Mytilus edulis: one gene and its partners. The protein of the gene in region 1 interacts with the protein of each later gene in a pairwise test. Links are inferred from orthologs where the notes say so. Each region holds a gene or a part of one and is shown in the gene's direction. Other genes may lie near its edges.

The links.
Region 2: the proteins of U6 snRNA-associated Sm-like protein LSm3 (region 1) and methylosome subunit pICln-like interact in binary tests that used the Homo sapiens proteins (3 or more experiments, as listed by UniProt). The link is inferred for Mytilus edulis from reciprocal best matches to the Homo sapiens genes LSM3 and CLNS1A.
Region 3: the proteins of U6 snRNA-associated Sm-like protein LSm3 (region 1) and U7 snRNA-associated Sm-like protein LSm10 interact in binary tests that used the Homo sapiens proteins (3 or more experiments, as listed by UniProt). The link is inferred for Mytilus edulis from reciprocal best matches to the Homo sapiens genes LSM3 and LSM10.

What each region holds. Positions count from the first base shown.
Region 1 is NC_092344.1:14,978,207-14,989,733, reverse strand, and holds the start of U6 snRNA-associated Sm-like protein LSm3, read left to right. Parts: upstream 1-7,140; 5' UTR 7,141-7,225; coding exon 7,226-7,246; intron 7,247-11,527. Other genes in the region: transmembrane protein 209-like, read right to left, coding at 1-58, 442-504, 1,210-1,382, 1,759-1,848, 3,253-3,448, 3,676-3,884, 4,530-4,661, 5,169-5,227 and 1 more. UniProt on the Homo sapiens protein: Plays a role in pre-mRNA splicing as component of the U4/U6-U5 tri-snRNP complex that is involved in spliceosome assembly, and as component of the precatalytic spliceosome (spliceosome B complex).
Region 2 is NC_092346.1:104,451,328-104,462,537, reverse strand, and holds the start of methylosome subunit pICln-like, read left to right. Parts: upstream 1-5,559; 5' UTR 5,560-5,670; coding exon 5,671-5,807; intron 5,808-7,321; coding exon 7,322-7,464; intron 7,465-8,481; coding exon 8,482-8,571; intron 8,572-9,348; coding exon 9,349-9,420; intron 9,421-10,066; coding exon 10,067-10,183; intron 10,184-11,025; coding exon 11,026-11,102; 3' UTR 11,103-11,210. UniProt on the Homo sapiens protein: Involved in both the assembly of spliceosomal snRNPs and the methylation of Sm proteins.
Region 3 is NC_092350.1:69,988,423-69,997,656, forward strand, and holds U7 snRNA-associated Sm-like protein LSm10, read left to right. Parts: upstream 1-6,934; coding exon 6,935-7,375; downstream 7,376-9,234. UniProt on the Homo sapiens protein: Appears to function in the U7 snRNP complex that is involved in histone 3'-end processing. Increases U7 snRNA levels but not histone 3'-end pre-mRNA processing activity, when overexpressed. Required for cell cycle progression from G1 to S phases.

The sequences.
Region 1 (11,527 bases):
TGGCATTAATTTGTTCTATTTCTTTTGCAACTCTTGATACAACTGACAAACATATCCACTGTACAAATACAAAGAAGATTTGTATTGCATTATTTCTTGATCTTATTTCAAGGAAAATAAAATATTTTCCACAAATACATAGAAAAAAGGTATTTATTAGTTAGTAGTTTTATATATATAAAAAAAAAGTAATCAAATGAATCCTCTGAACTGAGACAACCTTAGTTTATGGACAGAAATGTAATTTCTCAAGAAAACTTGCAAACAACACTTGAAAACATTAAGTGCAGCTATTACCAGTAGTTTCAAGACTTACGGGGACCTTAAGTTGTAAAACTTTTATGTCATTCCGTCTTTGGTGGAGATTTGTCTTATTGGCAATCATACCACATCTTGTTTTTAATATTATTATCTGTTTATGGCCAAGAACAGTCTACTCACCTTTCTTACTCTCTCTGTCCATAAATATAATTCATCTTCTGATACACGCCTCTTACCCCATATCTAAATAGAGAAGATAAATATGGCTGCTATATATCATTCATGATTTTGTATATTTTTTGGTAAATAAATCAGGCTGTTATTTTTCTCATTAGAATTGTTTTACATTTGTCATTTCAGTATCTTTTTTTAATTTGCTATGTTGTATTGGTTTAGCTCTTTGTTTGAAGGCTGTGCAGTGACCTATAGTTGTAAAATTACACATCTTTTGGTCTCTGGAAAAGAGTTTTCTTATTGGAAAGCAAATCACATTTACTTATTTTTGTATTACATATTCAAATAAAAAGATCAAAGTTCAATAAGTCATAGTTTGATGTTTTGAAATGCAGCATTTGTTTGAATTAATAGTCATGTATCCAGTGGATTTCTTAAATAATACATGAAACAAGATAGTTAATATATAAACCTGCATTTTACCTCAATTTTCTTACTAGGTCAAAATGAAACATACTTTTCTATTATGAAACAAATTAGTAATATATATCAAATGAGGGTCTGGAAGTGTTCCTTCGTTTCTTTTAAGAAATCTATTCTTCATTTATCTTGATCTTATTCTCTATTCTTAATATTGCAAAACCCCATTATTCTCTATTTTTTGGCATATTTTTCTACATTTTTTTATATTTTTTGCCCTTAATTCTGCACTTTCTGACCATTATCTCTTATTCTTTACACCCCATCCAGACCCTCTTAAATAGCATTGCTTACATCTTCCCCATTGTACAATGATGATTGGTCACTATCATAATGTCTAGACATGGGTGATTGTGGTGACCTGCTAGCCAACTGGTACATATACTTCTTTAATAGGTGTGTACAATCCATTGCTGATCTTCCATAACTCCAGAATGAGGCTCCAGCTGAGGTATTGTCAGGTGAACCTTCAATGTTTTGAAATAGTAAATCTGTAGTTTATTCATCATTATATAAAAATTTCACTAGTCTATTCATTTTTTCTAGTAAAGTTATAATTACGCATCAACAGTTCTCTAAATATAACATAAATTGTCTAATTAATATTCTCTATACACTTATTCATGTACAAATGCAGCAGTCTTCCATTGCATGATTGCAATAGAATTAAACTTGAATTTACCATAATTTCTTATCTGTGATCTGACAATATATTCATTAGTTATGAGTTAACTGGCATTAGAATATACTATTGTTTTATAGGCAACAAAAGAAGAATCAGCTATCAAGTTATGGCAGAAATCAGAAAACTACTACTGTTAAAGTCAACAAAAACTTTCTTACTCAAAGCTGATTTATATTCTCTTTCATCTTGTTCTTTCAAATACTGGCTGAGAGAATGCAGGTCTGTGATCCTATCAAAGGATGTTGATGCTAAAAGTAGAACAGTAAATAGTTATTGAAATGGTGTTGTTTTTAAATAATACCTCCTGGCATTTGTGATTTCAATGTCAGTATCATATCCACCCGACTACATGGGTAGTTTTTTTTTGTACATAATAAAACAAAAGTAATTTTCAAAAATGGTGAATGCTTTTAAACAAGAGTGCACACGCTGAAATGTCTCGCCTTCTATACTAATCATTGATATTATGTTGATAGTCCTAAGTATAAAGCTAAGCTTTATTACAACTGTCACATAAACTTAACATTAACCAAGATAACTAATCAAAGACCAATGAACCTTGAAAATGAGGTCAAGGTTAGATGAACCATGCCAGGCCGACATGTACAGCTAACAATACTTCTATACAACATATATAGTTGACCTATTACTCATAGTTTAAGAAAAATAAACCAAAACACAAAAACTTAACACTGTGCAATGAACTGTGATGAGGTCACGGTCAAATAAAACCTGTGCGACTGACATAAAGATAATAAAATATTTCCATACACCAAATACAGTTGACCTATGGCATATAGTATTAGATAAAAAGACCAAAACACAAAATCTTAACTTTGACCACTGAAACATGAAAATGAGGTCAAGGTCACATGACATCTGCCCGCTAGACATGTACACCTTACAATCATTCCATACAACAAATATAGTAGACCTATTGCATATAGTATGAGAGAAACAGACCAAAACACAAAAATTTAACTATAATCACTGAACCATGAAAATGAGGTCAAGGTCATATGACACCTGCCAGTTGGACATGTACATATTACAGTCCTTCCATACACCGAATATACTAGCCCTATTGCTTATAGTATCTGAGATATGGACTTGACCACCAAAACTTAACCTTGTTCACTGATCCATGAAATGAGGTTGAGGTCAAGTGAAAACTGTCTGACAGACATGAGGACCTTGCAAGGTATGCACATATCAAATATAGTTATTCTATTACTTATAATAAGAGAGAATTTTCGTAACATGAAGCATCTATATACAAAGTATGAAGCATCCACCTTCTAAAATATAAAGCTTTTAAGAAGTGAGCTAACACCGCCGCCGCCGTAGCCGCCGCCAAATCACTATCCCTATGTCGAGCTTTCTGCAACAAAAGTTGCAGGCTGGACAAAAACTACTTCTAAAAATATCTTTCTTTTGTATTTTAGGTAATATCATCTCATGTATCCCTTTTTTCTTCCTTTAGACATTCTATTTTTCGTCTTTCTTCCTTTCTTTCGTCCTTTAGCCATTATATTTTTGTCTTTCTGTTAAAATTAACTTTATAAAAACCAAGTGTTTAGTATATTGAATATAAACCTTTTTGGCGATATCAATATAAAGTATTGAGAGTTATATATACATCTTCATTTTACCTGGAGAAGCCTTGAATGAATTAGACATGGACCTCCTTCCTCGCAGTCCACTGGAATCAAAACTGTTCTGCATTCCAGGTGAAAAGGAACTTCCTGGTGAGAACGATGGATGATGGGTAAATCCTGATACATTAGGAGACATGGAGGAATTGTGAGCAAATGATGTACCAGGACTAATACTGCTGAGATTCTGAACCTTAAATTAACAGATTTGGAGAATCATTAGCCCATTATATTGAGAACAACTTAATAATTAAATGTAAGAGCTTTTCAGTATTTAAATAACATAGATATTTAAAATATCTTAATATTTTCAGCTTTTATCTGTCATGTTTATATTAAAACTATGTTTGTAATTACATGTAGTGGATAATGAATAATTCAACAAGAAAATATTTCCTCTCCCCAAACAGGTAAACATACCCCACTAATATTTGCTGCTGGTGAACTGTAAGTTGAATATACAATGGAGTGATTACTGAAGCTAATGGGCCCAGACATATTTGTAGGTGTCGTCTGTCGCTGACTTGCTGTACTAGAGAAACTAGAATGAGCTGAAGGTGTACTAGACAGCATTAAACTTTCTTCTGATGATAAATTCAATTTCCTTGGTGAAACACTGAATCCAGCATCTGAAAAATAGAATCCAAGCTGTAAGTCTTGTAATAAATAAAGTATAGTGTAAAACTGTAAATCCACTTGTTTTGAATCAATCTTTCCGTATTCCTTTTTAGGGTTTTTGCTTGTTTTGCATGCTTTTAGCCTTGATTGTTAGTTTTTAATTTTTTGTTTTAATATTTATTTTAGTATTGACCTTTTATCTTAAGGTAGGCATTTTTGTTTTATTTTTTATTTCAGTATTTGAATTTGACACAGAATGTACAGTGCCTTAAGAGTAATTCTTTTTTTTAAATAGGGCCCTTGATAAATTTTCATTATCATTATTTTTATTATTATTATAAATCTACAAAGCAGTGTTCTTAGAAACATATCTAGATGCATTGGTGACCCACAATGTTTAACAACACAAGGTTTTGTTTAGTTTTATTATGCATCCTTGAATGAATAAATTTATAACATATAAGTTTAGTTAAAATACAGTTTAATGATTGAGTCATTCTTAATTTCAAAATTTTAAAACAGATTCAGTACTATTCCATACAGGTCCAAGGTTTGTTTAATTTTTCAGTAATATATTTTACTTTTCATTTTTTTTTTCATAATAAATTTCATCTGCTACTTCACATCAATATCAAACAACTTAACCATTCATTTACCTATATCTCTGACAGCTAGGAGTTTTTTCTGCCCTGGAGTCATCATTACAGACTTGGTAGATACGTATGGTTTAAGGTAAACAAAAAAGTTGGTCACACTGTTTAATAAAAATATCACAGCCAGAATACATTCTGAAAAAAATACAATATAAAGTATGATTTTATTCATTACTTTTTTTATTAGTATCCTTTATGTCATCATGCATATGTCATGGTGCAATTGTCAATGTTAAATTTGCATTGTACGGTCTTCGTCTCAGGTACTACAATTTATAAGCAATAGTCAACTTACTTTATTGGGAATCTACATCTTAATAAATTTATCTTATATCCATCAATCTGAACTATATATCTTAGCACGCTTATTTGTGAGCAATGCCTTCAATAAACATTTTTTTTTCTAAAATATATATTTAGTGTTGTTTCTCAATCACTACATGTGCTTTTTTGTCTATAATTCTATAATACCTGCATTTTTTCAACACATATTTTTTGCATGTTAACTCTTTGTATGTATTTGTATGCATTTCTTCTCAAGAATGGTATTTTTCACAAATACACCTGAAAATGATATTTTTGTTCATTTCTAAAAAAAACATGAATAAGTGTCTGCCAATTCATTCTTTTAGTGTAACTTACCAAAGTACCATAGTACAGGATGTGTGATGTTTAAACTAGATCCTATACTGTTCAGCTGCCTGTAAAGAAAAAAGTTCAAAAAATTAATAAACAAATCATAAAGGCCTTCAAATAAGTGTTCATTGTAAATTTAAATTATTTATTTACATTCTCCCTTATATAAGTCAAACTATTTGATATTTTAACATAAAGTTTTGACCTACAATTTTTTTTACTTACAATGGTTTACTTTTACAAATTGTGACTTGGATGGAGAGTTGTCTCATTGGCACTCATACCAAATCTTCTTACATCTTTATCTCATTGTCATTTCCAGTTGCTATCACAAAGCTAACATTATTGGTTCATGACCTTTCTCATATTACATGTTAATTTCTCTATAATGCTGCAAACTAAGACACTGTCATTGACTGGACATTAAATACTTCACCGCATTTAATCTAAAACTGATATCATAAAGTCTTATTAGAGATTCAAATATTTAATTTAAAACATGTAAAATTGGTTCTTACATTTCCATGTACATCACTATAGCCAAAATGATATTTACACAGCACCAGAAGGAACTCTTTCTTGCCTGTTTCCATGACTGCCTTTTATTCCAAGTCTCATTGACAACTGGATCTGTAACTGTACCAATCTTTGTCATCCTGCTACCTACAATTAACATTATATCAATTTAGTTTGCTCTATTGATCTTTATGTCATCACTAACAAGATATTAAAATTTGAACCATATTAGTTTAACAGTTAAATGTAAATGGTAATTATGACACAACAATGCATTCTTTAAATAGAACAAAAACCTGTGAGACAAGGATAAGTAAACTTCATGAAAGTCTGTCTGTCTATCTAGATCTATCTAAACTATATAGGGGGTCTCATTGGGGGGTTCCAATCCCGGATCCCGCTTACTGTTTTGTCAGATTCCTGTATCCCGCTTACACTATGTACGTAAGCAATTCTCATTTTTTTGTCATTTCCCGGGTCCCGCTAGACCTCATTTCCCGTTTTCACGAAACAATTACTTGACTTTCACATGTCACGCTTACAAAAAAATCGGCAATCCCATGTCACGCTTAGACCCCAATGAGACCCACTGTATACACAGTAACCTTATCGCTATTTGGAAATCGGTCCCCCTTGACCTGAGAATCTGTTCTGCTTGAACTTTTGACGTCATACAAAAATCACTTAACCATAGTAGCGGCATATTTTTACAAGAATTTTGTGATGTCCAGTAATGTCAGACAAATATAAAGCAATAGCAGATTTAAGGTGTATTGATCTGACTGTCAGACATAACTAGTATGTCAAATTGATCTTAATTTGTCAGACCAGGAACATATCAATAGATTACTGTTCCTAGGTCAGACTTTAATCTCCTTATCAGGCTTTATATGACAGAATAAGATGATGCTTTTTCACACAAATTTATACCTGGTCACAGTGTTCGACTGTTGGTCGCTGTCAAAAGTGTCATTTAGTTACAGAATAAAAACTATAAAAATAAAAAGGGTGTATTTGTTTTCAATAGGTTTTATGAAGGACGTATTCTAACAACAATCAATACCAGACGATTTATGTCAATCGTTGTTATTGTTAATCAAAACATGCCGCCTCGGCTTCTTCAAAGTAAACTTCCGGTATAAATCGAGTCGTATAAAGGCCAACTCGTCCCTACAGATTTCGCTTGATAACTATTTTATATACAATCAATGTATTTTAATGACACAAATGGGAATAATGCAAATTAAAAAAAAACAACTGTTTTTGAAGGGATCAATCTATTAAAATAGTTTAATATGCAAAGGCGAAATTGGAAAGTCCCGTTCAGAACAAAGCTGTGGTACGATTAAGTACCGAAAACTCATGTATGTTAAATTTCGAAAGATTTTGATGCAAAAAGTTATATCAGCATAATAAATTTATGATTTCATTATTAAGTGGTTTTATTCTAGCACAACATACACCCTTTATACGCAATTACATTATTAATGAATAAACACAAAATGAACTTAGATTTTGGGTTATAAGATCAGACCAATAACTCGAAGATGGCTGATGAACAAGAGCAGGTGCGTTTGGACGACCAGAAAATTTGTGAATTATGTGTTTTCGAAATTTTACTAAAGCTGTTACACATAAAAATGTTCAAATTAATCAATCAATTATTTCGAATTTCATTTAATTCTCAGTATTTCTTTATTCTAAATGTCTTTTCATAAGAGTTTAGATTGTTGACTACTGAAATTGATAGAATTTGTGACAACTCGCCCCATATCTAACATGTATAATCGGCCCAACAAATACCTGCTAACTCACCAACTAGTATTCACAAAACATCTGTCAGATGGTGTTGTAATTTCTGCTTCTTGGTACAAAAAATGTATGTTTTTGTATAGTTTTAAAGCCAGCAAATACGAATTAACTCATAAAACTCTCTCTCTCTCTCTCTCTCAGCATTGGTAGCGTGAATAAATAATCAATAGTAAAAATGATGCCTGTATTAAACTTCTAGTACAGCAGATATATTTCCATACATCCATTCGAAAAACAATATATAATTAACATATGGGGCGGAGGTACTAAAATAACATTCTTTCTCTTGTATTTTTGTACGGACCAAATGGGATTATCTTAAATTCTACACTGACAATGTAAATAAATGCAAGGCATACAGCTATCTGCGCTGCTTCTTACCTCTAAACTACGACCCATATTCATAAGATAAACGGCAAACATACACCTAAATACGCTGCTTCTTACCTTTAGGAACCCCCGGGTGCCTTGCTGTAAGTGAAATGAAAATACATCAAGGAATGACGAACGTGACATTACACTGTTACTTATTTGAAATTACCGGAAGTAAATATTCTAAGCAGGAAGAAAAACATTACGTCCAACATTGACATAAAATATAGGAGTCTTCGACTCAAAATTCTTGTAATAATTAACTCTTATGAATAAACAAATCTAGACATATTTATTCTTCCAGTTAAGAACTCATACAATGTAAATGTACCATTTCTGGTTCACGCTTTAATAATATGGACTCAACCGTTAGGTTCTGAACAATACATGACAAAGTTGCGCCATACATTTTTGTACATGTATATGACGTTATCGATACAGCTAATAACATAAAGTAAAATGTACATTATTTACTCCTTCAATATATATACTAAACACTAGAAATAACTTATGATAACTTTATTAACTCTCTTAATACAATAGTCACAACATTCCTTTACTTGGGAATACCCAGTGCACACATTAACAACAGATGGGAAACACAGGTTTTGTTTGCTGTAAGCACACATACTTCTCATAGACAGTAGTCCAAATAATTGTGGAGTACCACTTATATAAGTGATTTCATTATTACCTATTTCAGTGGTTTGATAATATCTGTTATCACCTGTTGGTGTTTCCTTTAATCTTGGAATGTATATATGTAACTTTCATCCATTTTCTATATTTTGAGAAATTTTTCTTCAATTTCTCTACATACATCAATTATCCCTTTCTCTTGTACCGGTATATATAATTTCAGTTGGTGCACTTGGTCAGTAATTAAGTGCTCTAAAGCTTTTAAAATTACCCTTGGGAATTTGTCTGTACGGGTAATCAATTATTCATTACTACTCTTACAAACAGACAAAGGTAAGCATTTTAAGTAACCTGATTGGTCTTTTTTCAAGTTGGGCAGCAATCATTTACCTTCAAAAAGAAGGGGGATATATACAGTTTGTTGTTTGAGCCAGAAAATTTCAGTTGAAAGTCCTGAACATACATAAGATTCAGATATTTGCCACTGGATATTGAGCAACGTACAGTGAGTCAATCAGGCCAAAATATATAGATAACATCTATAAATTTGACACCATTAAACTGGAAGTGGCTCCTTTACAGGCCTTCCAAAAAATATTTGAGCCAGCCGGACATTTGATATCTGATTCCGATTTTAATCCCTTAAGACTTAAAAGGCAATTGTGGTAATCAGATGGCCATTCCAATGATTGACATTTGATTAGAAAAAAAAAGCATTTTCAACTTTACTTTGATATGAATTTGATATGAAACTGTTAATTTGGCAGTGCATCATTCAAAGTGTGCACATCAGCGTGCTCATATCTGCCTTACACTCTTTATTTGTGCAAAATGACATTCAGTGACATTATTAAAGGGAAATCACACTATTGTTTATACGCATCGCTATCGGGGCCGCTATAGTGTCGTAAAGTTCTGTATTATGACGTCGCCGTTTTCGTGTCCGTCGTAAAGCTAGTTCTTATTTTAAAAAAAATAGCGAGCCGCTCGAAGGGACGTTCCACTAAAGCAGGAGAAATGATAATGAACATATGATATTTTTTACAACTGTTATAATTAAAATAAAAATACGTGTCCATAAAAAAGGGTCTGATTGTATTGGGGTAAATTTACGGAATACAGAATAATGGGCAAATACTGCAGAATAAAAGACAAAAAACAGAAGATTAGAGAATGAAGCTTAAATATAAAGAATAAAAAATATTGGAAACACTAAATAAATATTAATAAATGAATGACCCTCTATCCAGACCCTTATGATTAAAAGAACATATCAATACAAAACACATAATCATCATGCATAATCACCACTAAGAACGATGGAAATTCATAGCATATTCAATATGATTTAGTACCCTCTCGGACCATTTTCTCGAAAACGAAGTCGGTGACAAATACTTTTTTTTGGCAGCGTATCGTCGCGATGCGGTATGTAGAGTTCATGGTATATTTTCGGGGGGGGGTGGGGAGAGGGGTACAAATAGACCAAGAGTAGCAGCATGTAAGCGTACACTTCCGGAATCTGTAGTTTTCAGTCCAACAGAGGAATGTAAATAGGAACAATGAGTTTCGACCGTTTTCTCATATAACATGCATGAAACGTCATAACTATAGTTTTCTATACTACATGTATAAATAATTCATCAAAAATCTCATTTCACATTTATATTTATCCGGTGCAGCCTGTCGGGTTAATACAAAGCAGGGTCAAAATTAATATGTTCTAGTTCTGAATACTAGTATGCATTAAACTTGCCACTGGACGTAAATTATGTGTGACGTGCTATTTGAAATCGTAATTTATTTCACATGTGACGGCAGAAATTATCCAAGTGTCGTCCATCTTTCCCGAATGTTCCTTTGACATCTAATGCCTCTCACTTTTTTTTTGGGGGGGGAGGGGGGGGGGGGGGTATGAAAACAAGTGATTTGTAGAGTAATCATATTTATTGAAATATTCAATTAAAAACGTTAATAAAATAACGAAAATCATCCAAAATTTTACATCAGTTGCTGGCTGTCGAAATCAAAGAAAATTTAGCACCGTATTGTATTGTACATAATTCTCAATCTCTCTTTAATGCTTTGTTCAGGCTAACATAATTTGGGCACAAAAAAAATCATATTTTGTAGTATTTCTTCAAACTGTTGTTAGCGAACTGTAGGACCAACAAGTTAAAAATAAGGCCGCTAGACTTCAAATAATCTGGGAATATCAAACACTATGCATAGTTATATATTTTGGTACTATTGATGACCTACACCAACAACAATAAAATGCTTCGCTGAGCGCAGCCTGATACGCCCGCAGAGGTTGAACAGTTTTGGCACGTTTGGACACAATACCCAAGCTTGATATATATACTGAATTTGGACTGTGATCAAATTTTTGACACAATATAGGTTTCTGACACAAAATAAATATGGTCGAAGGTCTTAAAAATTTATTGTGCAATTGGAGATTTCTTCTTGATATATTTCAAAAAATTTGAAATTTCAAAAATTTGCAGAAAAAATTATGACCCCCGCCCACCCCCTTCCTCTTGTAGCAATTACCCCCACACTCAATCCAAGCCTTCTTTTTGTGGTGTGGAACCTTGTAGTACAATTTTAGATAGATCCATACACTCAAACACAAGTTATTGTAAAATAGTATAACTAGTAAAATGCTTGTTTTTGAACCCTAATTCCTGAACGTTTGGAGCAATTACATGTACCCCCAACCTCAATTTGTGATATGAAACCGTGTGGTACAATTTCAGAGAAATTCATTACTTCTCAATGTCATATAAGAAATTAATATATATCAAAACGGAATTTACATCAACAGATATAAACAATTCATCAAAGTTGTATGAAAATTGGTGAAAGCATCTTAAAGTTATCGTACGAAAACTGAAAAATCGCCCCTTTTTAATGAATAAAACCCCATATCTCGGAATCGTAAAATCAAAAATCTATAAAATTATAAAGGGAGCTTACATCAATCGATATGAACAATGCACTAAAGTTTCATGAAAACTGCT
Region 2 (11,210 bases), on another chromosome or scaffold:
AGGTTAAATATATATATAATACTATTTGATAAAGGTTAAATATATATATAATACCAGTTCTATTGGTTGGTGGAGTTCACATGGCATTTAAAGGTTAAATATATATATAATACTATTTGAATTATACTAGTATCAATATTCTAAGAGCATACATAAGAATATCATTCTTTATAGATTACAGGGTTTTCTCAACATATATATTGCAAAATATCAACTGCTGGCCAGCAAGTAAATCTGGTTAATAAGTAATCAAAATAGTTTAAAAGCTTCACATTGTGTCCAGGGTCTGATATTTGAAATAAACAAACCCAAGATATTATCTGTGTTGATTGTTTACAAAACAAGGTCAATTTTTGTATTTATCATTATCAATTGAGATTTAAATAAAGATCATTATATGTTCCTGTACAGTTTGAAGATAAAATATATACAATACAAAAATAAATATATAAATAACAAGATTATTATACTTAAATAAAGTATAGGTAAAAATTGTTGAATTAATGATGCTACACAACATATGCACAAATCCTTGTTCAAGTATTCATTTGATCGCATTTTCATTTACATAAAATCCCACATTAAATGTACATGTAGAATCAATTTAAATTAAATAATGCCAAAATGATTAAATCCATTAATTGTTATATCATTCAATATTCAATACAAATATATTTATTTTGTTTCAGTTTAATGTGTTATCCACTCAGTTATTGGGTTACATGTAAATCATTTTTTTTGTAAATAAAGTTTATTTATATTTGTATATACAAATGTATATATGCTTCAGGAATCTGATGTTCATGGTCAGTAGTAGTTGTTTGTTGATATGATTCATAAGTGTTTCTTGTTTTTTATATACAAATGTAGATTAGACCGCTGGTTTACATGTACACTAGTCATTTTTGGGGCCCTTTATAGCTAACTGTTCGATGTGAGCCAATACTCAGTATTGAAGTACTTTTACAAGTTGCGACTTGGATGGAAAGTTGTCTCATTGGATCTTCTTATATCTATTCAAACATTTCAGCTGATATATATCTTCTAATGTTAGGATAGTTTAGCTAGTTACATCTGACAAAATACCCTTTGAGATATATTTCTTCAATAGTACACACAAATTAGTGTATTTCTAAACAGTTAACAAATGTAAACTGACATTAAATCATTTACACAAATCAATAGTATGTCCTGTCTTGATTCTGATCATAATCTCCCCTAATGATAGAAATATTTTCATTTTTTACTAATGTCATCCATTGATAAGAAATATTTCCCATAAAATATGAGATTTGACAGGGACATCCTGTTTCTTTTTAACATGTAAGAGTACAAGTGAAACCAGGTACAGCTGGTCAATATGTTGAAATGTAATCTTACAAGAAATATTGTTCCATATTAGAGTGTTAGAGTAAATAGAAACAGTTGTGTTCCATTTATTGAAACTTATTTTTGGAAACATGCAGAAAGAGTCAAAATTAGAACTGTCTGTTATAAACAAGGACTTATATCCAGAAATGCTGTAGAAGACATCAGTGAGAATCCAAAGCTTAAGGTTTAGAAAGGGGTTTAATTACTAGAGGAAAGAATGGATGAATTTTGTGCATAATTTCAATACTTTTTTTAGTTTTTTCATTATAATATATGGTAATACAGTTCCGGCAATTTTAAGGAAGTGATCAATTTGTGTTTTTAAATAGATTAAAAAAAATAAGCATTACATGTGTCACTTTGTTACTGAATTTGCTTAACAAATATTTTTTGCAATTTTTTATTTTTATCAATTCATGTAACGTGATCACAATTAAAAGTTTCATTAGTTTAAACAGAAGAAAATACCAAATAAATGTTCCTTTAAAATTCTAATTAAAATCAACTTTACATTATAGTTTAAATATTCAGACATGTTAAATGACTTTAATATAATATCAATGGTAAGCTTACATGTGGAGTCTGTGATTAATCAACTGGTTCTACTGGTACCCTTATTGTAACTATCTATGTAATATCATTAATCAATATTTTCAATACTTCTGACATTTACACTGAACCATTTCAAAAACAAAATCAAATGCAAAAAAAAAGGTAGTATTACAATACTGGACTAGTTATATATATATTCTTTAACTAGATGTAACAGCTTCCAGTCCCGTTAGCATAATAGTCTCAGTAAAAAACTTCAACTCAGTTTTTGTAATTAAATTGATTTTATCATAATTTATGAAAATAAACTGTTATCACAGAGATATGTTCGCCTTTTTGTAATTTTGATTATGCAAATGTTGAAATCCAAATAGCAATACTCTAACATCTTACACAAGTTATGCAAATATTCAAAGTCAATGACCCATGACTGAGTTTAACTGGCTAAACAATCTCCATGGAAATGAAATGTGCCAATGCTAATACAACTGCATACCACATACCATTGACTTATTATAAGTCGTTCCCAAATCTAAATACAAACTATAACTTGTAAACTTTGAAAAAGTTTCGAAGTAAATGAACCATGAAGAGGGGGTGGGGCTATATAATCTCCATGGAAACAATACTTGCAAATGCCAATAAATTTGCATACCAAATATTATTGACTTAACATAAGCAGTTCATCTTAAACTGATCTAATCACAAACTAATAAATGTAAACCAAGATAAGTTTCAAAGTCATTAGACTGTGACTGAGGTGCAAGGCCAAATATACTCCATGGAAATGAGATGTGCCAATGCTTATACAACTGAATACCAAATAAAATTGGCCTACCACTAATGGTTCCCCTTGAACTGACCTAATCACAAACTAATACATGATTTAACTTAGAATAAATTTCAAACTCTATAGACCATGACTAAGGGGGCAGAGCCAAATTATCTCCATGGAAACGAGATATTCCAATGCTTATAAAACTGCATACCAAATATCATTGACCTACCACTTGTGGTTCCCCATAAACTGACCTAATCAGGCACTAATACATGTAAAATAAGCAAAAGTTTCGAAGTCAATAGATCTAGACCATGACTGAGGGGGCAGGGCCAAATAATCTCTATGGAAATGAGATTTGCCAATGCTTATAAAAAGGCATACCAAATATGATTGACCTACCACTTGTGGTTCACCATAAACTAGACCTAATTACAAACTAATACATTGTTGACGCCGAAAACAGCATACCTATGTCTCGCTTTTTGACTCCGTCAACGCAAGACAAAAAATGGATACACATGTAAAATTGCTCACATGCATTTCACATGTCAGAATCTCATGTGAAATCCATATGAAAAATATGTTGCAGGCTCGACAAAAATCAAAACTCTTAGCCACATGCACACCTTCAGTATATATACAAACAGATAGCAAAGTAGACTTCCTAGCATTCGAACTGTAGAAGGAGTTATGCGGAATAACGATATACCAATAATGGGACGTACGGAAGGACAAACGTACAGAGGGAAGGAAGGACAGAGGTAAAACAATATGCCCCCTAACCTTTCAGTTGCAAGGGCAGGCAATATAAGCATTGATGGTCGGAACTGTCACAAAGCTATGTGAAACCCAACAGATGAACAGAATCTACCTAAAATTCAGGCAAACATTAATGGAACTATCACAAAGATATGTGCAACCGAACAGAATCTACCCTGAAATTTAGGCAAACATTAATGGAACTATCACAAAGATATGTGCAACCTATCTCAACCACTTATATACTTTAAATTATAAATTCCTTGTAATGAGGTCAAGGTCAGATTACCCAAGCCAGTCAGACATGTACACCTAACAATCATTATTTTAGCTGAAAATTGATGTAAAGTATTCTTAGAGATGTCTAACAATTTATGTTTGTTTTGTTTGTATATTTTGGTGTAGACTGGTGAGATCGTTTAAAAGTTCTTTGGCATTTTTATGGCACAGTCATCATTTGAATTAGTCCAAATAATTGGGCCATTCCAGTTAATTTCTGACAGGTGGGGATGGATGGGGAGATTTTTGTTCATACCTATCAGAAAAAAACATCACGAAAAACTACCTATCAGATCTATATATTAAGACCTATCAGATGTAGAGTTTCTGTTCAGATTGGGTGGATGGGCTTTCATGGAAAAAATTGACCTATCAGAATTTTTTACTGCAAGGATTGTACCCATCAGAATTTTAAATATAATGCCAGATAGTGCATGATACGAAACTGTCTACATTCCAAAGCACCCCTAAGATCTGAAATAGGTATTTTTTGTAACCCCTAAGATGTAATTATTTTTAATTATTTACTGCTGCAAGACCCTCAGAAATTTTTGCGTATAAGTGTACGTGTCAGATGAAAAAACCCAAAATTTCACCCCTAAGATGTATAAATTTAACACCCCTCAGAAAGGACCATCCATCCCCCTTTAGCAGATATTAACTGGAATGGCCCATTATGATGTCTGGCCCAGGAAAAAAATCAAAATAGTCTTGCTGGACCTCATTATTATTTGGACTACATTTAAATAGTCAAATGATATATAAAAGTCCAATGAATGATATAAAATTTCAAATGAATTACATGTAGATGAACTAGCACAAACCCAAGAAAAAAGTGCATGTGCTTGCAGTTTGGATTTTCAAAAATTAAACAGTGCCAACCTATAATGCTATCATTCAGCATATCATATGAATTACTGGGTAAAATCTAACAATCAATATGATACCATTGATTGCAAGTTTCACCATGTACACTAACGACACCTTTGGGTTCCCAATACACAACAAAATTTAGCTTATCAGGGTTTAATAACAGAAAAGAAAAGTCACAGACAGGAAGTCATCTTCTTCGCTCAAATCTGAATCCCTGATCATTATGGGTTTTTTCAAGGATTTGTATAGTAAGTCACAAGTCCTTGTTTTTTTTTATGTACAAAATTGTATAAAATGCATAAAAGATTTATTTTAAAGTCTTGTATACATACAACAATACATAATAAGCTCTGTAGATTGTGTATTGACATAATGAGTTCTGTTAACAACTACCAACCTTGGGATGAACAATTAGATTGTATGATCTTATGTTGTATTATTTAAACAAAAATAATCAATCAATCAATCAATCAATACTGACAATAGTATTGACTTCAAAATTATTAAGCTGAATCAATCAATCAATCAATACTGACAATAGTATTGACTTCAAAATTATTAAGCTGATTCAAGTAAAAAGTATCAAAACTGTATAACAAATCACATTTATACGGAATTCGTCCTCTTTATATATTTAATAATATAAAAGGATACTGCCTCATAAAATGTATCTTCGTCCATAATTTTTCAGACTTTAGTTCCTAGCACATCCATCATATTTTATTAGCTAAAAGCTCTTACAAAAATAACTATGTAGCAAAAGTATGTTGAAAAAAAAACGGTTTATGTCTTTGATTTAATTGAGTGAAATTTACCTGTTTTATTTCACTGGCATTCTTCAATAACAAGTAGGATGTGTTTCAGTGATATATACTGACTTTGTAACCTGAAAGAAGGGACCATAAATAGTGCTTGAATATTTACATGCAAACTACCGCTTTCTCAAACGCAGAGATGATACACATATTGCGTGGATGTTCTTTGGACTTTTTTTATTTTACAGCGAAAAATCTAGAGAATAGTTTCACTTTAAATTTGCAACGCACGTTGGACGCATGGTTGTCAAAGAAGAAATGGTTCTCTTAAATTCATGTTCCCCTCCAGATGAGGGGATACGGAAAAAACAGGAAAATACGTCAGCATTTGTTGGCGAAAGAGCACTTGGAAAAGGCACGCTGTTTATTGCAGAAAGGTTGCTATCAAACTCAAACTTAGATGATAATTGATGATATGATATTGATTACTGTGTTTACACACTTGTATACTTCAATAATAATAATAATAATAATTCTTTATTTAAAGAGTGTTACACAGTATAACACAAATCTTCCCTGAAGCCAAATGCAATGAAATATAACAAACAATTTACAAAATAATCAAACAAATACACACATACAGGCATACAGGTGGGTCTCATTGGGGTCTAAGCGTGACGTGGGATTGCCAATTTTTTTGTACTCTTGACACATGAAAGTCAAATTTTTTCTGCCCTGAAAATGGGAAATGAGGTCTAGCGGAACACCGGAAATTACAAAAAAATGAGAATTGCTTAGCCCACATACATTAAGTGTAAGCGGGATATGGGAATCTAACAGTAAGCGGGAACCGGGATTAGAACCCCCAATGAGACCCCCATATAGTAATGTCCCCGCTGCTGGTGATATCGCTCATTACCTGTTTTGACATATAAGCAATGTAACACAAGTAGAATTGTTCTTGTAATTGTTTTAGTTTTCCAAAGGAACAGAAAAATATTAAAATTGATAATTTCAAGAGTATTGGCAGTACAGTGTATCTAGGCACCTAAGACTTATGACTTCACTTCATTCAATTGATAAAACCAATAGTTGGATAATATTGCATTAACACATTCATAACATACTTTTATTACTTAAATCTTCTGTTTGTATGATTTCACCCTGAAGATTTGATGTGTTCAAAATTATGGAAACCCCTGTTTTACCAGTCCGTCAAATGTCAGGTGATTTCGTTCATGCCTTCCAAAAATAGCTTATTTTGAATAAAGAAAAAGATTTAATACTACAAATTTGAACCAAACACACTGCCTTGCAATGAGGCAGAGCAAAATTTATTCCAATACTTATATTCCAAATATATATGCATATGCCTCTTAATTATTGTTGTTGTTACCAATTATGTAAATCAATTGTATCTGATTTTATGCCCTTTATGGGCCCTGTAATTTTGGAAATAAAAATATTCTATTCTATTCTATTCCATTCTCATATAAATGTGACTTGAATAAAACAAATTTTATCTGATTTTTAAATGGAAATTGGCTAGATATGGTAAATTATGGGATTGCAGTTATAAATTTACTCTCAACTATCAATTTTATTCTTTTCTATCCCTTCTGATAGCTAAAACAATTACAAGAACAGTTTTATTTGTGCTATTGTGCAGATATGACGAAATCAGCTAATGAGCGATATCAACAGCCATGTGGACACCAGGGACTCCACTGTAATCTTATAACTGCATTCCACAGCTAATGAGCGATATCAACAGCCATGTGGACACCAGGGACTCCACTGTAATCTTATAACTGCATTCCAATCATTAACCATAGTTAGCCAATTTCCATTCAAAATATTACATCATCATGATCTGATAAATTTGCTTTATTTAAGTCAAATTATTACCGTATCTCATATCCCATTAAAGTCCCTCATGATTTAATTTCAGTTGTGTGTCATGGCAGAGCTCAGAACATGAAGGACAAGGGTTTTCCTTACAGTACCCTGGTATAAGTATACATGCTGTATCCAGAGATTTAACAGCCTTTCCACATGAATGTTTATACTTGATGGTGGAAGGAGATTTAACTGGTAAACAATAAATCAATATTAATATTGGTCGAATTGTTATAAAAATAAAAATTTGAAGCGTTTATGATTACAATTGTCATGCATGTATTCTATTTCTGAAGGCTAACGATTTGCCATATATATTTCAACAACCAAAAACGAACTTTTGTAGTTTGCTTTTTTAACATCAGTATATCAGTATGATAAGTCTTTACAAAAATAATATATGAATATTACAGAGAAATCCTACAATTATATATATATTATACATGTACATGTTATAGTTACTGAATAGTTAGAGAGCCGTAGTGTAGTGGTTAGTGCATCGGACTACTAACACAAAGGTTCCTGGTTCAATTCCCGTTTGGGATGAAAGTTTCAGGAACTCAATTTTCAGCTCTCCCTTGACACCATCTGCTAGTATGGTCTTGAGGAAACGATGATAGTCTGTCGGAAGGGGACGATAAATGGCTGACCCGTGTTAAGAGAGAGCCATATCTCTTGCACGTTAAAGACACCCTTGTAGATTTCGAAAAAGAGTAGGCTAATGCCGCTACAAGGCTGCACTCGCACCCGCAAAGTGGAAAGGGATTAATATAAGTTGCAAAAATTGTTTCCCAATCCACTATAAATAAATATGTTTAAACTAAACTAAGTTACTGAATTATTTGAGCGTGTATCAGTTTTTGAAATAAACTGATACAGTACATGTTAACAGTTATACATACACATGACATAATTATAATACTGGCATACATCTAACAAATTTAAAAAAACACTTAATGCTTATTAGGACATTAAAACTTTTCATCCTTTTTGGTGTATAAACATGATAAAAAAAGATGAATATTGTATGGACAAAATACCCAGTGAACCTCAAATCTACCGATGTTTTTTGTGGCAGTAGTGTTTGACTGTAAAATTGAGAATGATATCTTTTCTCCAAATTGTCGTATAATATATTGAAAAAATTTGCTAACATTGTATTGACAGAATAGCCGGTAAACTATATTGTGCTAAACTACATGTGTGTTGTAGATGATGCGAACAGAGAGGAGGAAGAATCAGATGATGAAGACCTTGACCCATCAACAGAGATGAGATTTGTACCAGACGATAAAACTGTGTGTATGTACTCTCTCAGGGATAACAGTTGTACTGGAAATTTTATATAAATCTTGTTTTCAAAACATGCATATGATTTATTTAACTTTAAATGTCCGTAATATTTGACATCTATAAATTTATTATTATTAGTCCCCTACCAACCAAGTCCAAGGCGGCTTTAGGTTTGACTCCTTTAGTCTGGCAAATCAGTTTTCCACACTTTTTTCTTCATGCTTGCAGATACTGATTTGATATTTGCTATATTGTTTTAATATCATGACAGGTTACAGATCAAGGTAAATTTTGTTCTGGCTGGTGATTTTGTGCAGAGTTATGATCCTTGGACTTGAAAAATTCACTCAAATAATCAGTGTTCCACAATTTTTTTCTTTGTGTTTGCAGCTATTGATTTGACATTTGCTGTTTTGACTATTGTTTTATCATGAAAAGTTACAGATCAAGTTCAAATTTTGTTCTGGTCTGATGATAGCTATTGTCCTTGGACGACTCAATTAAATAATCAGTTTTCCACCCTTTTTTTCGTCATGCTAGAAGACATTGACTTGATGTTTGTTATAAATTTACACCATGACAAGTAATAGATCAAGTAAGCATTTTGTTCAAGTACAATGCATGCTAACCAGTAGAGGACTATGTACAAATGATTCTCAGAATGCTTGTTATTATTGTCTTACAACTTACATTAAGTTTAATACCTTTTGCCCTAATTATTTTTTTCAGTAGATCAGTGATATTAAGCCATATCAAATTTTATTTCAATATACCTCTCTTTTTCAGTGGATCAGTTATATAAAGCCATGTCAGACTGTCAGATATTGCATCCTGATGAAAATGATTCAGATTTTGATGGTAAATGTTATAGACAATATTTGTGTTTAAATTGTGTAGTAACTTATCAATTGGCTTAATCCCAGTCTGTGTTTCTGTTTAAAAGGACAAAAACCTGCTGGCCAATTGTTTAGCTGACCTCGTAAGGGCTGTATAGCCAGTCAAGGTCGTTAAAAACTTCCATCATCAACCAATTGTTAAAATCTTTAAGAAAGTGTATGATTTATAAAGATATGTAACGATTTCATTCGCAAGTAGTGTAAATAAAAGGAGATATTCATCCATGAGATAGTAATTCATAGCCACTAATAAGTAAATTAATATTGAGAAATATCTTTTTAAACTTTCATAATTAAGACATATTGATTATTAAATGTTTTTTTATTTTTTATGCATTGCCATAGCTGAGGGGGCATTAAGTTTTACCCTTGTTCGTCTGTACATCCAAAAATTGATTTCCATTCTCTAACTTTATTTTGGCTCAACCAAATGTTATGAACTTATACCCAAAACTTATTACCACAAAGCACAGATCAAGATTGAATTTTGGTGGCACCACCTTTACTGTTCTAGAATTATGCCCCTTCACAAATGGAAAAATTTCAAGTTTTAGTGAAAATGTTAGTTTTGAATGGTGCTACTAAATTTACAACGTATGTATTTATAGAAGGAGGATTTTATGAAGGAGAAGATGGATTAGACCATTTATCAGAACAAGGTCAAGCCAATCTACAACGTATGGAAAATTTATTAGGTCAAGGTGATGGTCAGCTAAATAATAATCGTAAGTAGTTCAATTGTAATTCACTGGTATATTAGTTTGTGAAAATATGATATTAATTGTGGTGTAGGTTTTAACCAAAAGTGCAAAATGAAAATATTAAAATATGTGATGTAAAATTATATTTTGAGATCACTTTATTAAAAACCACTTGATCTTTCGCAATTATAGAACCGTGAGTTCGTGGTCTAGTGGTTAAGACTGATGGCTACAGTGCTGAAGGTCCCGAGTTCGATTCTCACTCGGGGTGCTAAAAATATCAGTACATCAGAAGGGTAATTTTCACTCTCTCACACAACTCTGATACCCAGACCGGAGTTTAAACTAGAATGGGTACTTTGGGGGCCTCGGTTGGTCAAAGTTGCCCCCTACTTTGACCAGGAGATCAATCTTCTGATATCTCTGGTTTGTCTGTTTCAACCGAGTTGCCCGGTGGTTTTCTCCGAGTACTTCGGCTTCCTCCACCATAATAACAGACTTCCCGGTGTCCTACACGCTCCCTTGGGCGGTGTTGGGTGAGGGTTGTTCTGGTGGTGGGAAAATATTGTAAAGGACACATCTCCATTAATCCTTAGGGAGTGTACATGGATCCGCTGTACCCTTGCAGTCAATCAAGGGGTGTGTCTACATTGGCGGAATCTATAAGTACATACATAGTACATGATATTTACGGGTCTTTGAATGTTATAAAAGTACATATGGTAATTTTTCAAAGTTATATTAGACCTTCAGCCTGAAAGAAATATATGCTTTTAATCTCTATTTTATCTAATAAAGGAACAGGGAGATAAAAATTGATTTAAAGGTTACAAAAACATAAATATATCTAAACCTGTATGTTGTAGATGCAGAGAATGGTGATGATGGTGTCATAGATGAACAGTTTGAAGATGCTGATGAAGAGGACGATATGGAGCAATGAACAGTTACCCAGACAGTATATACAAAGGCTACCAAGGCAGTCACTAACAGGGTACCAGTGTGAATGGCAGTTGTACAGTTCCATTGTTGTATATAGACTTCATTCTTG
Region 3 (9,234 bases), on another chromosome or scaffold:
TCAAACAAGCTAGATGACAATTTAACAATAAGTGCTTTATAGCCTCAAAGGCATTTTCACATAATGTGCAATATTTATTCTTTCCTATGACAAAAGCGAATCAAATGTGTGATAGATCCTATATATATAATTTCATGACAAAAACTTGTGTATATATAGTATTGTATTGACTGTTTCATCAGAGAGAGAGAAAATCTAGAAAAAAAGACTGACGTTTTAATATGTTTCAATCAGTATTTTTGCTTTTATTTCGATATAGGCGTTTTCGTAATACGAACTATTTTTTTGCGGTGTGTTATACTTGTTTGATTGTAAATTTATAATACATGACTTGTGTAAAAGTTAACCTGTTCCTTTGATGTCAAATTAGATTTATTTAATGTTTTTTTATTTATTCAAGTGCTTTTAATGAAATAATGTTTCTGTTCATTATGATAGATGATATAATTAGAGAATTTTTTTCTACAGGAAATTTAGATAAAACAGAATTGTATATTTAGATAATACATAATAAAAATTGGGTGTTGGATGTACTAAAACCGGATATTTGCATGAAATATACATCACTATTATGTAAAGATAATATAAATCGTCAATCTAAAGTAAATAACAAGAAATTATTAAGAAGCGTGCATGAAAATCGAAGACAAAGAGATTTGTCGGAGAGAGAGAGCGAGAGAGAGCACAAGGGAGATAGAGTGAGAGATAGATGGAAAATGAAAGTATGGAAAGTATGGGCATAATCGAGTAGGAATGCACAATGATTGATTGATTAAATTTTGGTGTTAGTGCCACTCTCAGCACTATACTAATTGTCTACAGCATGTCGTTCAGTTTATAGGTTGAACAAGTCGAGAACCGCCGACTTTTGTCAGTTAAATTGTCAATCTTAGTCAATTAAGATTGGAGTCGAACGCACCTGACACGTACGGGTTCGAACTGACAGACTAAAGCGAATTCAAAATGAAAACTACAAGCAATCTATAAGATTGAAAGGGTTAAGTTTAATAGTTACTGATTTATATTTCGTTTATGATGTTTTCTTCTTTTTAATCATTTATATAAATGCATCGTTGAAGAATGATTTTTAGCGTTTCTTCGTAAATGTTTCTACATTGAATGTAGAATTGTTTTTCATTATTTCAGTCTCATGTTGAAGATAGTGTTACGTTTAAGAAGTTGAATTATGAACTTATCATTTCAAATGTGTTTGCATTTTGCTTTGTATTAATAAGCTGCAATCCTCACAACTCGGCCGATTCCGTACCTCATCTAACAAGGAAAGAAGCGGAGTCACCCGAGGATTGCCGATTGAATAAGCTGCAATCGTCACAACTCGGCCGATTCCGTACCTCATCTAACAAGGAGAGAAGCGGAATCACCCGAGAATTGCCGATTGAATAAGCTGCTGTCATTTTTATTTTAAAATATAAAATATTCAAATGTTCATGTGAAGAAATGTCTACGTGTAATAAAGAGGACACTTAAAGTTTTTGACGACTAACAAGCCTAATAAAAGTCCAAAGCTTGTAAGTGGACAACCCATTTGTTTAATTCATAAAATATTTTAAAAGATAATTGTGTTGCTCTCATTAAACTCCATGCTCAACAATTTTTATCAAACGTTCTTCATAAAAAGTATATTCACAGAATATTTTTAGTCTGTAAGAATGCATTGTCGGTTTCCGTCCAAAAAGTCATTAAGGGATGAAAACTGTGTGTGTTGTTTGAATTAATGTTAGAAAAAAATGATATATTTACATGTATATACGCATCTGTATATATTTCATGTATATCGTTGTTTTTTGTGAGTACATGTACACTGTACGGAGGGTCTAGAGGGAGTTACATCATGATTTTAATACATGAACTAAAAATAGGTGAAACAAGTATATTTTTCACGAAAAAAACTCGGACTCATTACATGAAACCCTCTATACAGTATACACGAATCATCCAATGTCTCGACCGGAATTGTTTTATTTTTATTTGTTCATGTACATGTAATAGTATTTGCTTATTTTTTTGACTTAATTATGTTTGAATGATATGAATGTTTTAAACAGTATTTTTATGTGTTCTTTTTATTTTTAAGGTGCAAAAGATGTATGTAAATAAAATGTAAATAAAAATGCTAATTATTTATTCAGAAGATTGACTATTGATTGCATCTGGTTCGGCAGTATCCCATGCTGAGTTATCGGTTTTTGCTCTCTCTCTCTCAATTGAGATTGCTGGTTCGGAGCATGTTTCACCAACAATGTAGGTAGTCTTGAAATTAAAAGGAACAAAACTGTGTTCTTGAATGCAACATCGTTTGTTGTTGTATTTTGAGAGAGGATAGTTTTATGTTTTATGGGGGGGAGGGTTAACTTGTTTTAACTTTTGAATATTTAATGCATAAACTTTTCAAATGAGGAATATTTCATTGTATTGCTCAAGATTTTTCTTTAACAGTCGGATAATGTCGAGTGCATATCCCATCTTATTTCGAACAATATAGTTGTCCTAAAATTAATGCGCGAATTTGAATAATAAGGAATCTTCAGGTGTCTGGTCAGAGAGAAGAGAGAAACAGTAGTAAAGAAGAAAGAAAATGGGATATGTTATGTCTAAATTTTCATTGGAGTGCTCTCCCTTGAATAGTGGACTGATAATTTATACAGATAAGCCAAACACCCAAGAACATTGCGTCATTTTCAATCGATATGTAGAGCAGGATCTGCTTACCCTTCCGGAGCACCTGAGATCACCCCCAGTGTTTGGTGGGGCTCGTGTTGCTTAGTCTTTAGTTTTCAATATTGTGTCTTGTGTGTGTGATTTTCAGGACTACATGTACATGCAAAATAGTCGCATCACGTTCCAAGTTTATTTGGCGATACTTTGAGTTTTAATCAAGTTTATTCGCTGGGCAGAGATATAACTTTTTCTTTATACGTTACTCAGTTTCTGTATAGATATTTTATATACAAATCTGTTAAGATGCATTGTAACACGTACGAGATATTCAGAGCAGCTGTAATTTCCTCAGTGTAACAAGTCTGAATTTCATATTACCAACTGAGCATTGCATGTTGGATAGGTACACGGATTTTTAAAACGTATTCGTTCGTATCAGGTGGATTACTATTTGTGGCTAGGTTTTTAGAAAACACATTTTGCATTCGTCTACTATTGAACGGTGTAATTAAATTAAAATCTTGGTTTTGTTTGTAAACAAAACGGTTAAGTTTGTTTCCTGTTCGTAATTCAATATTATTTGTATCAAGTTATTATTAAATTATAAAAGCATTCTATATCAGATTAACATAATTATTTACACTATTTACCTATACAAATTTGAATACCAGAATTTACCAGTTCTTAAGTCATTCAAGATTTTAATTCAAGTTGGATCCGTCCTGGATCGAAACCAACAACCTCCTGCACAAGAGACACGCACACTATTAAAATTTCATGATTTTTTCAAGATTTTATTCATAACCTCAGACACATACAGGTGTGTAAGAGGACAATATAATTACAAACATAAGATAATACAAAGTGAGGCCGGACAGACAAACACAAATGCATAGTATGTTATAAAATACAATTTTGTTTGAGTATTTCATAATCATACTAGTTTCTTTACGAAAATTGATAAATTCTTTTGAACTTGTACGTTACATACGTATAGACAGTAGAGCAGTAAAATTGTTCTTGCTTCGATTTATTGCATACTAAGTTGGTACGAGACCAGCCCGTCCAATGACATATGTTGAAACCAGTCCATGAATTCGAAGGTTTGACCATAAATTGTTTATCTGATAATGAACTTTTAACAAAAACCTTTTTTTAAACATGATTCTATTTTGGTCAAGTGCTGTCGTTAAGCTTTGAACAGATTATCTTTACAAGTAATGAATTTACCCGGTTGATTAACTTTTGGTGTAAATATGTAATTCTTTTGTTTAGGGGCCAGCTAAAGCCGCCTCCGGTTGCGGGATTTTCTCGCTGTGTTGAAGGCCCTTTGGTGGACTTCGGCTGTTTTCTGCTATGGTCGGGTTATTGTGTCTTTGACGCATTCACGATTTCCATTCTCATTTTTTTTTAACTAAGGGAAAAAATGCCCACAAAATCCTTCTTCGTGAAAACTCAACATAACCGGTGGATGATCCGATGGGGAGAGGGGTCCAGATTGGCACCCCCTTATTTACGATCAGTGCTATTGAATGGGGACATATGGGTGGATCCCCCCTTATTATAAGATACAGATATTTTATTTCCTAATCATAGGGTTCATAACAAGCATGTAATCACATAAAGTAAAAATAAAAAGCCTTTCTCTCCCACTCGAATACACTCACACATACAACTATCGTTCTGATTAAGGATGATTGATTTAACAGTACAACAACTTATTATCCTGGGTTGGAACCCCCTTTTAAAAATGGCTGAATCCGCCCATGTAAAACACAATTTTTAATTTCCGGACATATTTAGCAAGTCAATATACATTACTGTATTAAAATTGATGTTTGTATTTGGCAATGTGTTTGTTTGTATGCAACTTTTTGGTTATTAGACATATTCGAAAACTGGCTGCTAGCGTAGTGGCTGCTAGCGAGTGGCTGTAGCTTGAGCCTGGTTTCGATAATATATATACCAAAGGTTGTCACTGATAAGTCTTTTGTAGACGAAACACGCGTCTGGCGTATTTGCAAAATTTAGTCCTGGTATCTATGATGAGTTTATTTACTTGCAAACGTCAATTTGGAAAGAATCCATGCTAAACCACGTATATATCATTTTATTATTAAATTGATAGGTACCGGATTGTTTGTTATCCAAAAGTTTGTGGTTTTTTTTTCTATCACTGGAAAAGCAGAAAATGTTGGTTAGGGGCAGATTTTCTCCAAGCAGTGTGGGATAATTATTGTGACCCGGTTTTTAGGTACAAAGTAAAGTAAATCTATTTTAAACTCTGCATTGATCTACGATTGAGAGGTTTAAAGCTTGGTTTTGTTTATTTATCAAAACAATAAGGATTGTTTCCTGTTCTTAATACCATATTATGTGTATCAAAAACCAGATTAAGGTAGACTAGCATTCTATTCCAGATTAACATAATTACTTACAATGTTTACCTCTGAAAGAATACACTACGTTTAAAAACTCCATTGATAATTCTTTGTCGTTTGCTTACATCATGTACGGTTGTACCGATATTTATTTCAAGAGGTTGTACTGATTGACCGTCCAGACTCTGCAGTCATGCTTCTGTGATTCCCTATATAATCAACCAAATTTTTTTGGACGAAAGGGATCACCCCCTCTGGATCCGCTATGCGGTCTAAATTTTATCGATTTGTTGAGGCTTATTGGTCTTTTTCTTAATAGTCCAATGAGAAGCAGCAAATTTTAAAATTAGACGATCTGGTATGCCGGATTGCCATAGATGTAAACAACTATAGCGGTCACCGTACAGCCTTCAACAATAAGCAAAATCCAGACTGCGGTAGTTACCATTAAAAGACCACGAAAAGACAAATGTAAACAATTCAAACGAAAAAGGTAACGGCCTGATTCATGTATAGAAACAATAAACGAATTACAATTCAAATCTAAAACACATACAGCAACAAACAACACGCAATAAATTATAGGCACCTACAGAATGTGGTCGGGTTAAATATGTTTGCTTTAGCAAAACATTTTCCCTAACCTCGGACAGTGGTGTAACAAAACATCAACGTTCATGTCTTTGCTTTGAACGCGATGGATCTCATGACAACCCGTACTTCAGACACGCAGGATATCACGAGACCAAATTTAAATCTTTAATCTGATAATGAACTTTCAAAAACGGTACTTTTAAACGCAATGTATTAAGATTATTTCAGACGGGTTTTGTGGTTAAAATTTTGAACGGATTATCTTGCAAAGATTTTATACAATTCAGTAAATATTAATTGGCGTAAATAAATTATTTCTATAGTTCCAAATGAAATAATAATTGCGACCCAATCCTTGTTCGGGTAATTTTTTTAATTTATGTATTTGAAGTCATGACACGTTCTGCAAATCCATAAACAGTACTTATAAAATTAATACAATTTATGTACTATATTTTTTGTTTGTTTGTGTAGTGAACCTCCGACTGAGCGAGACGTTCGTAGGAATTCAAGGTCGTAAAGCACCCGCCCCCGTTGTTGATAAGTTGCGAACTTATGTTCCAAATCAGATGAAACTCATATCCAACACAACAAAAGAAAGATAACTCCAGGAATTTTTACTGTTTTTTCGACTTAATATCTTTATATTTGTATATGATCTGAATGGTAAAATTTTATTATAAAACATTAATTAATAATCTGTTGCAGTTAATTCAATTCCATAACTTTAAAATACTTTTAAGCTGAATGAAATTGGCATCTTTTTCTAAAATCATCAGGTATATAGGGGATCATTCCATAAAACAGCAGCTGTATGTATATTTTTACAGAACATATAAATTTGATGATATAAAAAAGAAGATGTGGTATGATTGCCAATGAGATAACCATCCAAAAAAAGACCAAAATTACACAGACATTAACAACTATAGGTCACCGTACGGCCTTCGACAATGAGCAAAGCCCATACCGCATAGTCAGCTATAATAGGCCCCGATAAGACAATGTAAAACAATTCAAATTCAATTGATGTATAGAATAATAATAAATATCAAAATTGGTGTCAACCTGAACAAGCATCATGCATAATTAACCACAATCAATCCATAAACGTGTGCAGAGACATATATTGTATAATATTATACATTGTATGTCTCTGCTTGTGGTAAGTAATCAAGTGTGTTATGAGGTTCTCCAATATTAGGAGAGAAATACGGATGAACCATAAAATTCAACCATGCCCTTTTCGTTTCTTTCCCTAGACCGTAATAATCCCTAAAATGGCAAGCAATCGACAGAAATTTCTGATTAAAAATTCACTTATTTCTTTGTTAAAAGCGCTTGAAGGAAAAGTGACGACTGTTGAATTACGGAATGAACATACAGTCACAGGAACAATTGATTATGTTGACGGATTTATGTGTGTTTCGATGTCAAATGTTTGCTTCAAAACATTGTCAGGAAAAATGACAAATTTTGAGCAATTTTACATACAAGGACCGAATATAAGATTTGTACAGATACCAGACGAAATTGACATGAAAAAGGCGATTCATTGGGAGGTAAATGAAGAAAGGATAATGCGGCAACGGATGCAGAAAGCAATAAGTGATGCAGTTATAAAAAAGAGACAGAAAAGAGAAAAAGAAATAACGAAAAAAGAAGAAAAAGAACAGAAATTGCTGAAAGAAGCAGTCGATAAAAAAGATGCACCTAACTGATGCGGGACAATATTTTTCAATGGTTTGGACCACTGGATGTGGTACTGTACAGGTTTCCAAGTAATAATGTACAGCACAATCAGGAATTGGAAGAACCATATTTTGTCTATTCAACATCATGTTCAAAGCATGTTCATGTAAGAAACGCAGAAATGATGAGAATAGATGCTGATATATTGAAACTATGTTATTCTAAACATTTTTACACAATCCACTGGATAATTTCAAAGAATTATACATACAGCAGTATAAACTTAACTTGTGAATATTCATGCTACTTTGATTATACATTTTTTACATACATTTACATGTATATAAAAATATACATTTATGCATGTAGGTGTATTGACAATTATACAATCATGACAACCAAGGAGGTATGTTATACATCCTTGTGACAATGTACTAAAAAAAAAGTTCATTGTAGTATTTTGAGTTCAGTATTATAAGCCAAAACAAAAATTGTTAACATGGTTAACCTTCTGAACTTCTGAATGCCATACACAATGCAATCTCAATATACTGACAATAGTTTTTGCTGATACAATGTACTTTCAAAAATGTACATGTATGTTCATTTATTGTTGTGTGTTTGTTTATTTTACATTGGCTATAGATGTATAGGAGAGGGTTGACAATGGTTGAGATTTCACAAAACATGTTTAATCTTGCCACATTTGTGTGCCTGTCTCAAGTCTGGAGCCACTGGCCTTTGTTAGTCTTATATATATGTTTTTAAATTTATTATAATAAGTTCATATATGTTTAGGAGTTACGTGTGATTATAAAAAAGAAGATGTGGTATGATTGCCAATGATGTTCATTTTCACTGAACTAGTACACATTTTTGTTTAGGGGCCAGCTAAAGCTCGCCTCCAGGTGCAGGGTTTTTTTGTTGTGTTGAAGACCCACTGGCGACCTTGAGCTGTTTTCTGCTCTGTGGTCAGGTTGTTGTCTCTTTGACGGTTTGGAAATTCCCCATTACATTTCCAGTCTCAATTTAATACACATTGATGTCAGGCCTAGTGAGTATAAACTGTAGGGCACATGTAGTTGTACAACCAGCAATGCTTTTTGAATGCTTAATAATTTTTATAGATATAATAAAAGAGGGGCGAAAGATACCAGAGGGACAGTCAAACTCATATATATCGAAAATAAACTGACAACCCCATGGTGAAAAAAAAAGACAAACACACAAATAATAGTACACAAGACGCAACATAGAAAACTAAACGAAGCAACACGAAACACTGGGGTGCTCTCAGTGCTCTAAAACGGTAAGAGGATCCTGCTCCACATGTGGCACTTGGCGTGTTGCTCAGATAACCTCTACACAACCACCATCGTCCTATTCCTTTGGAGAAAAAAATGAACATGTACAAACATTGTCAACCAACAATGGATACAACATGTGTATCAATAACAAGAATGTGTCCCTAATACACAAATGCCCCACTTGCATGCACTATTATTTTCTATGTTCGGTGGACCAGAAAATCGGGATTAAAACTGATTTGGCATCAAAACGAGAAAGATCATATCATAGGGAACATGTGTACTAAGTTTCAAGTTGATTTGACACCAACTTCATCAAAAACTACCACGACAAAAGCTTTAACCTGAAGCAGGACAGACAGATGGACAAACGCACAGACCAAAAAAATGATGCCTCGCTACTATTGTAGGTGGAGCATAAAAAGATAAAGAATTAAGAAAGTAAGATCAGTTTGTTGTTTACTATTCTGGTAGTTGGCTAAAGGAACTATGAATGGATTGTTTTTATAATTCTGCTCCAAAAAATAAAAATGAATAAAAACACTCCTTTTGCTTTATTGCAGAGGATCTTTATATGACAA